Notamacropus eugenii: one gene and its partner. The protein of the gene in region 1 purifies or fractionates together with the protein of each later gene. This does not show direct contact. Links are inferred from orthologs where the notes say so. Each region holds a gene or a part of one and is shown in the gene's direction. Other genes may lie near its edges.

The links. The genes of interacting proteins can lie anywhere in the genome.
Region 2: the proteins of NCBP3 (region 1) and THOC5 purify together in Homo sapiens (co-immunoprecipitation; 3 studies listed by BioGRID and IntAct, with this or other methods). This does not show direct contact. The link is inferred for Notamacropus eugenii from reciprocal best matches to the Homo sapiens genes NCBP3 and THOC5.

What each region holds. Positions count from the first base shown.
Region 1 is NC_092877.1:388,342,042-388,345,786, reverse strand, and holds the start of NCBP3 (nuclear cap-binding protein subunit 3), read left to right. Parts: upstream 1-898; 5' UTR 899-913; coding exon 914-1,114; intron 1,115-1,218; coding exon 1,219-1,284; intron 1,285-2,646; coding exon 2,647-2,752; intron 2,753-3,745. UniProt on the Homo sapiens protein: Associates with NCBP1/CBP80 to form an alternative cap-binding complex (CBC) which plays a key role in mRNA export. NCBP3 serves as adapter protein linking the capped RNAs (m7GpppG-capped RNA) to NCBP1/CBP80.
Region 2 is NC_092875.1:16,147,088-16,150,832, forward strand, and holds the start of THOC5 (THO complex subunit 5), read left to right. Parts: upstream 1-925; 5' UTR 926-1,129; intron 1,130-3,745. UniProt on the Homo sapiens protein: Component of the THO subcomplex of the TREX complex which is thought to couple mRNA transcription, processing and nuclear export, and which specifically associates with spliced mRNA and not with unspliced pre-mRNA.

The sequences.
Region 1 (3,745 bases):
CGGACCAAGAGGAGCCGCAGACGGAGCCCCCCTCCAGGACCTTGAGGTGGGCCGCCAGGAGCCACCCAAGTCAGTCCACTTCACCAAGCGGGCCCCACCCATCCCTTCCTGAGCCACACTCCTGGGCAGTGCCCATCCCCAGGGCTGTGATGCCCCTGGTCTTACCCTCCTTGTGCCAAGGCTCCACGGCCCGCACAGCTTCCCTGCCCCCAGCCCCCAGCCCCAGCTCAGACTCAACCCCAAACCCTGAGCCGTCTCTCCATCCCTTCAGTGGCTCTGGGGCTCTTCTGGAGGCCTGTCCACTTGTGGGCATGCTTTTAAAGGATCACAAATTTGGGGACTTGCGTCAGCCCCCAAGCCTTCTGGGTGTGGCAGTCCCGTCAGACCGTCAGACCCTCGAGGGCAAGGCGTGGAGCATACAGCAAGGGCTTCATAAATGCTTAAGGAAACACAGTCCAGGCCGTGGGGGCACCCGAGGTGCCCGAGCCTCCGGCCACTTAGGACTAAAGGACTGTCTCCAGAAGGCCCCAGTGGAGGTGGGGGGAGGAGGCCCTGGGGGGAGGAGGCCCTGCGAGGCGGAGGAGGCCGAGGGGCCGCGGCAGATGCCGAATGCCCCCAGGCCGCCCCGCCCTCCCTCCCTCCGCTTACTCCGGAGGGAGACAGGCGCAGGCGCCGGAGCCGGGAAGCCGTAACTATGACAACGGCTCCGCCCCCGAAGCGGGCGGGGGCGGGGGCGTCCTCTGGGACGCTCTAGGCCGGGCGGGCCGCATCTCGATGGTACGTCGGCGGCGCTCTGGGCGGCCCGCTGCCTCTCGCTGGTGCGCGTGCGTACGTACGGCGGCGCCCTGGGCGGCGCGCACGCGCTCTCGCTGGCACGCCAGGAGGGCGGGCGGACGGAGGCGGCGGCGGGGCCATGGCGGCCGTGCGCGGCCTGCGGGTGTCGGTGAAGGCCGAGGCGGCGGCAGCGGCGGCGGCGGGGCCCCACCTGGGGCTGCTGGGGCCGGGCCCCGAGCGGGGCGAGCCCGAGCCCATGGAGGTGGAGGAGGGCGAGCTGGAGGCCGTGCCAGTGCGGCGCTCGCTGCTGCCGGTAGGACGCCGGGGGTCCGGCCTCCGGGTGGGTGCGCCCCTCAGAGCCTGCCGCCGGGCGCGCCGGGGCCGTTGGGCGGCAGGGAGCGAGGGCCGGGGTCGGGGTCCCCCTCACCGCCCGTCTCGTTCTAGGACACGAGCCGCCGCTACGAGAACAAGGCGGGGAGCTTCATCACGGGCATCGACGTCACCTCCAAGGTAGGGAGGAGCCCTGGAGCCGGCTCACCTGGCTGGGGCTCCCGGGCGGAGACTTTGTTGCTTTTGCCCCCTCCCACAATGCACCTCTTTCTGTTGGGGATGGGGAGCCCAGCCGGAGTCTGTCTACACCCGCTTACGTTGGAGCGGCCAAGGGCTGGGGAAGGCTTCCTGGAGGAGGCCGGGCGGGCGGCGGGGAGGGGGGCGAGGAGGAGGAGAAGGCAGAGCTTTCCAGGCAAAGGTTCGGAGGCGGGAGATGGAGGGGGTGCCACAACGGGCACTCGAGTTCCCATTCTGCCCCACTGGCCAGCTGGGGGACCAGGTCAGTCAGGTACCTGCCTCTACCTTGATATCTCCTCCTGAAAGACAGATCAGGTGAGGAAGCTTAAGGAAGCACGTGCCCAGGTCCTGGCACACAGTAGGTGCTTAATCAGTGCTTGTTCCCTTCCCCCCCCCCCCCCCCCCCGCGGGGTTTGGAAAGGGGAGGGGCTTCCCCACCCTCCTGGCCCCAAGGGTTCTCCTTCCTCGGGGCTCTCCCCGCCTGTAAAGCAGCCCCCATGGGTGAGCCCAGGCTGGTGCCGATGGTCCCTGGCCTGAGAGAACTGGGCTCCCCCCTTGCCCTCTCCCCTCCTCCCCCTCTTCCCTCCCCCTCTTCCCCTTCTCCCTTCCCCCTCCCTCCTTTCCCTCTCCCCTCCTCCCTTGCCCTCTCCCCTCCCTCTCCTTCCTCCCCCTCCCCCTCCCCTTTCCCCTTCCCCTTCCCCTCCCTCCCTCCTCCCCCTCTCCCCCTGCCCCCTTGCCCTCTCCCCCTCCCCTCTTCCCTTCCTCTTCCTCCAGCTCTGCTGGCCTGCCTTGGCCTCAGTGTCATGGGGCCTGTGCACCTGATGCTGTGACATTCAGAACCTACCTCACCTTTTCCTCTGTCAGTCACTTACTAGTGTCCGGCTGGGGCTTGGCATGGGATAAGTAATCGGTAGGTGGGTGTCCAGGTCTTGCCTTTTGCTCAGGACCAAGTCCTGGGCTCTTTGACTGTCCTCTGATAACTCAGGCCACCTAGGCCCCTGCTCCCTGAAAGCTCTGCCCCCTCCCCCACCAGCCTGTGGGGACTCCTGTCCTCCTCACTGACCCAGGAGGCGACATGGCCCACTGTCCAGACCCGAGCATCCAGGGGCCTGGCCTCCTGCACTTGGGAGTGGAGAGGAGGGAGTTTCCGAATAGCGTGGGAGATGAGGTCAAGGGTCAGACTTCATGCTCCCTGCCTGGCCCACCACCAGAGGGGCAGGGAGGCTGAGGCCGGGGGGCTCCGAGTCTCAGCCTCCGCCTTGGCCTCGACCCATCTCATTCTCTGGGGTTCCTCGTGCTCTTTAGGAAGCTATCCAGAAGAAAGAGCAGCGAGCCAAGCGCTTTCACTTCCGAGCCGAAGTCAACCTTGCCCAAAGGAATGTGGCCTTGGACCGAGACATGATGAAGAAAGGTAGGAGACCCCCCACCCCCACCCCCAGCCGAGAGCTGCAGTGAAACTCAAAGGCGTCCTGACGTTGAACCAACCACACTACTGAGGGAAATGAAGCTGGTTTCTGTCTGTCTTGAGGAGGGTAACCTCCAGGCACTGTCACCAATGGAAGGGACCCAGGAAGGCCTAAACTACTTATCTGAAAGTCTGCACTCATCCCTCATTCCCCAGCTGGGAGGGTGTGAAAATTGGGGCTGTGGCGTGAACCCCTGGGTTCCTGCCAGGGTTCCCTGCGATGACAGCGCTAGGTCTCCCTCTTCTTAAGACTCCAGAAACCAGTGACTCCAAATGCCTCCCCTGTGTAGATCTAGACCGTACTGGGTAATCCCTCCATGTGGGTCTTCTTGGAGGTGCAGATCCTTCCCAGCCCACCCAGACCTTCCTTCCAGGTGCTCATGGAACATGTTGGGGGATGGGCTCCTTTGGATCTCCTGATCTCCTTGAGCCACACATAGATCCCTACATATTTCCCTCTTATTGAACAAGTCTGACAGGCTTCTCCTTACCTAACTTCCCATGGTTCTGACCTCACTTGAGCCAAAAGATGAGCCTCAAGGTCACTGATCTAGAGGGATGTGTGAGGAGCCTGCTGATGCCCTCAGGAGACTGGGGACCACATCCAAGGCTTGAGCCCCAGCAACCCAGACCTGGGCTGCCCCCTTCAGATCTAGGCTTTGATTTTCTCCCCTACCTGCTCCAGGTAAAATAAGATGGGGGCCTGTCACCAACATGCCTGGCCCTCTCACCCCCCAACCAAGCTAGTACTAAGGCCTGTCCAATTCACCACCTCTTGTCCATTTTACCTCTGCGCCTTTTCTTGTCCATTCCCCCCCACCCCCCACCATCTCTTGTCCATTTTACCCCCTGCACCATCTTTTGTCCGTTTTACCTGCTGTACCATCTCTTGTTCATTTCACCTCTTCAGCATCTCTTGATTAAGCCCCTTCCCTTATC
Region 2 (3,745 bases), on another chromosome or scaffold:
CCTAAGAACTCCAAGGAAACATTGGCCAACCATATCTCCAGTGGTCCCAAGATAGAAGAAATGAGCAGGAGCCAACAAAGATGACCACTGAACATTTTTTTGAAAATATATGAAAAAGAACAGAAGGAAATACAGTTGAGGAGACCAATTTTGAAAGTGTATGTCTTTAAGTGTATGTAATGGAGACTCATGATTTCACATACCAATCCTATTTTGTGTTTTTAATATGTTTATGGAAATGCTTATTATTACTAATAAAAGTAAAATTGAAGAGTGCTGGATTTGACATCAAAGTGCCTGAGTTTAAAACCCAGTTATATCACTTCCTATCTCTGTAGCTCTAATCAGGTCACTTGATCCCTGAGGGTCTTGGGTTCCTTATCTGTCAAATGAGTGGGGTTCACTAACTTCTCAGAATCCCATCCAATCTCTTAAGACTTAGAAATGAGAAGCCTTTAAGACTCTTAAGGTGCAGACAAGGCTTTGATCCTTCACCATTGAAATCATAGGCTATCTAATAAAAATGGCTTGAAGAATGCCTTGCCGGAAATCAGGGATTCTCAGGGATGGAAGTGAGACAAAATACCTTCCACCTCTCAGAATCCCTATTTTCTTTCAAGGCGCAGCTCCAACTACAAGTACCTTCTCTATCTGCGGTTGATGAATAAATGTTATATATCACCATTGCCTGGACCTCTTATTTCCACCCATGCTGACCGGATCTGCTCTGCTTAACTGAAGTTGTGACTCGCTCCTCACACAGCACCACAGGGGGCCGAGGTGGGCTTTGACTCTGTGTCCGCTAGATCGCGCTGCTCCCAACCACTGTCGGGAGCCAGACTAAGCAGAGAGGGGCCACTAGGGGGCAGCAGAGAGCCCCGGCGCGCGCCGCTCCTCCCGCCTGTTTCTCTATGGTATTTGGTGGGCGTGGCTCGGGCTCTCTGGCCGCCGGAAGCGGAAGTCTCGCCGGCTCTCGTTTGGTCCGCGCTGTCGCTGGGCGAGGCGGCGGGCTTTGTTTCCCGCAGTGTTCCGCCCCCGTCCGGTGGGCGTCCGGGTCCTGCTTCCGTCTGCCCCGCGGGAGCCCCAGCGGCCTGTGCGGGCGTCAGCCCGAGTCCCGGGCCGTCCTCAGGTACGTACGCCCCCCTCCCCTCCTCCGCGGGCCCCCACCCGAGCCCCTCCCCAGGACCCCTAACTTTCCTGTAGAACCCTTCCCTCCAACTCGGCCCCCCCCTGCAGGAGCCCCCCCCCCAGCGCCCCCTCTCCCTCCTGAGTCCTTTCCCCAGTGCCCCCTCCCCCACCCGAGCCCCTCCCCAGTACCCCTAACTTTCCTGTAGAACCCTTCCCTCCAACTCGGCCCCCCCCTGCAGGAGCCCCCCCCCCCCCAGCGCCCCCTCTCCCTCCTGAGTCCTTTCCCCAGTGCCCCCTCCCCCACCCGAGCCCCTCCCCAGTACCCCTAACTTTCCTGTAGAACCCTTCCCTCCAACTCGGCCCCCCCCTGCAGGAGCCCCCCCCCAGCGCCCCCTCTCCCTCCTGAGTCCTTTCCCCAGTGCCCCCTCCCCCACCCGAGCCCCTCCCCAGTACCCCTAACTTTCCTGTAGAACCCTTCCCTCCAACTCGGCCCCCCCCTGCAGGAGCCCCCCCCCAGCGCCCCCTCTCCCTCCTGTGCCCCCCTCCCCAGACCCCCTGTCCTGGCTCATCTCTCCCAGACCTCCCCCCGCCCAGGCACAGTCCCCTCTTCAAGTAGTCCTGGTGGCCCCTGGGGCCCCGGATCTAGTACAGACTCCTGGCCTTCGCCAGCCCCAAACTCCTCCAGGTGAACGGCCCAGCCTGGTGCCCCAAGTTGGATTGTGGCCTTTGCCCTTTACCAGACATTTGGTGCACCTGCTGTGAGCCGTGGGCCACCTCCTGCCTCCCTGACTGCCCCTCGTGTTCCCTGTGCTTTAAATAAATGAATGAAAAGCGCATTAAGGCCTTGCTGGCTCTGGCCAGCCCGGGGATGTGTTCCTTCCTCACCTCTGCCTCCTGCATGGAGCCTGGGCTCCCCTCAGACTGCCCCTTATCTCCTTAGGGGGCCTTTCTGAACTAAAGTTCCTGGCGAGTGGGCTGGTTTCCTTGCATTAGTGCTCCCTTCAGAGCCCTGAACAGGGCACCTCCTCATAGCAGGTGCCTAGTAAACACAGTGGGCCGATGGACCCAAGCTGTGAGCCCTCCCCCATTCCCCAGCAGCTGCTTTGCACTTACTTTCACACATGCACGCTGTTTCTCACATTCCAGGTGACTTTAGGTGGGGACATTCCCTCGGCCTCAGTTTCTCCCTATAAAAAGGGGATCTAAGTGATCTATAAAGTCATGTCCAGTTTTAAAACTGGTTCTATGTTCTCTTGCTTTCCTCCACTCTATTGTGTAGACTCCTGAAGGGCAGGAGCCGTCTCAGCTTGTCTTTGTTTTTTCTGAGCCTGGCATAAGGACTCTTAGGGACTGAGTTTTGTGGGGGTTTTTTTGGTCACCTCCAGGGTATCTAATAGCATTTGATTCATGAGATTAGCTGTAGAGCAGGAGTCGACCTTGGGGCTTGTTCAGTGTAACCCTATCATTTTACACATGAGAAAACTTGAGAACTAGAGAGGTTAAATGATTTATCCAGGGCCACACAGGCTCCAAATTCAGTGTTCACTCTCCTGCACCACAACCAGAACTTAATAAATGCTTGAGAGCAAAGCCCCTTCCTTGCCTGAGCCCTGGATGAGAGACAGCCCAAGACTTGCCAGGCCAGGGAGCTTTTGTTCAGTGGGCAGGCTCACTGTTAAGCGAGACAAAGCAGAAGGCTTTACTTTGAAGATGCTCATGTGTTTTTGGAGAGACTCACCATGTAGACCAGCATAGGTATGAACATTGGAAGAGGAGAGAGTGGGCACAATTCACAGGAATATCAGAGACTGCTTCTCTTAGGAGATGGCATGTGAGGTGATCCTTGAGGGAAGGCAGGTATTATAGACAGTGGAGATGAGACAGTGAAAACTTGGGGGGAGTGGGGAGCTACAGCTTAGGCAAAGGCATGGAAGTGAAGAGGCCAGGCCAAATTTGAGGAGTAGCCTTTAGGCCAGTGCTCCCCACGCAGAGCTCCCAAGAATGGCTTTGGAAGGCGGCGGCTGCTAAGTTGTGAAAGTCTTTGAATGCCAAGCTGAGGCATTTGTATTTTGTCCTGGAGGCCATAAGGGCTCTGAGATTCTTGAGCAGAGACTTGTGCTTTAGGAGGCTTATTTTGACAGTCCTATGAGGATGCACTGGATTGGAGGCCAGACAGAGAGCTATTGAAATAGCCCAGGTGAGAAGTACCAGGGTGTGAACTCAATGATGATAAAAGCATTTATGTAGCACTTCGCTTACGTTGACTCACTTGGGAGTGGAGAGGAGTTAAAATCAGGTAGACCTGCAGCTGATTAAATTTGGGGAGAGAGGGAAAAGTAGAGAATGGCTGAGGTATAAGACTGAACACAGAACACTTTAAGTTCTGTACCCATTTTCTGTATATTACCTTATTTGATCCTTGCAGCAATCCTGGAAGGTAGGTGCTATTATTAATCTCCATTTTACAGATGAGGAAACTGAGGCTGAGCAACTTGCCCATTGTCACACAGTAGTAAGTGTCTGGGACAGGGTTCTAGTGCAGGTCTCCCTGATTGCAACTCCAGGACTCCAGTCACTCACTGCATCACACAGAAGTGGCTGAGCCCAGGCTAATGTT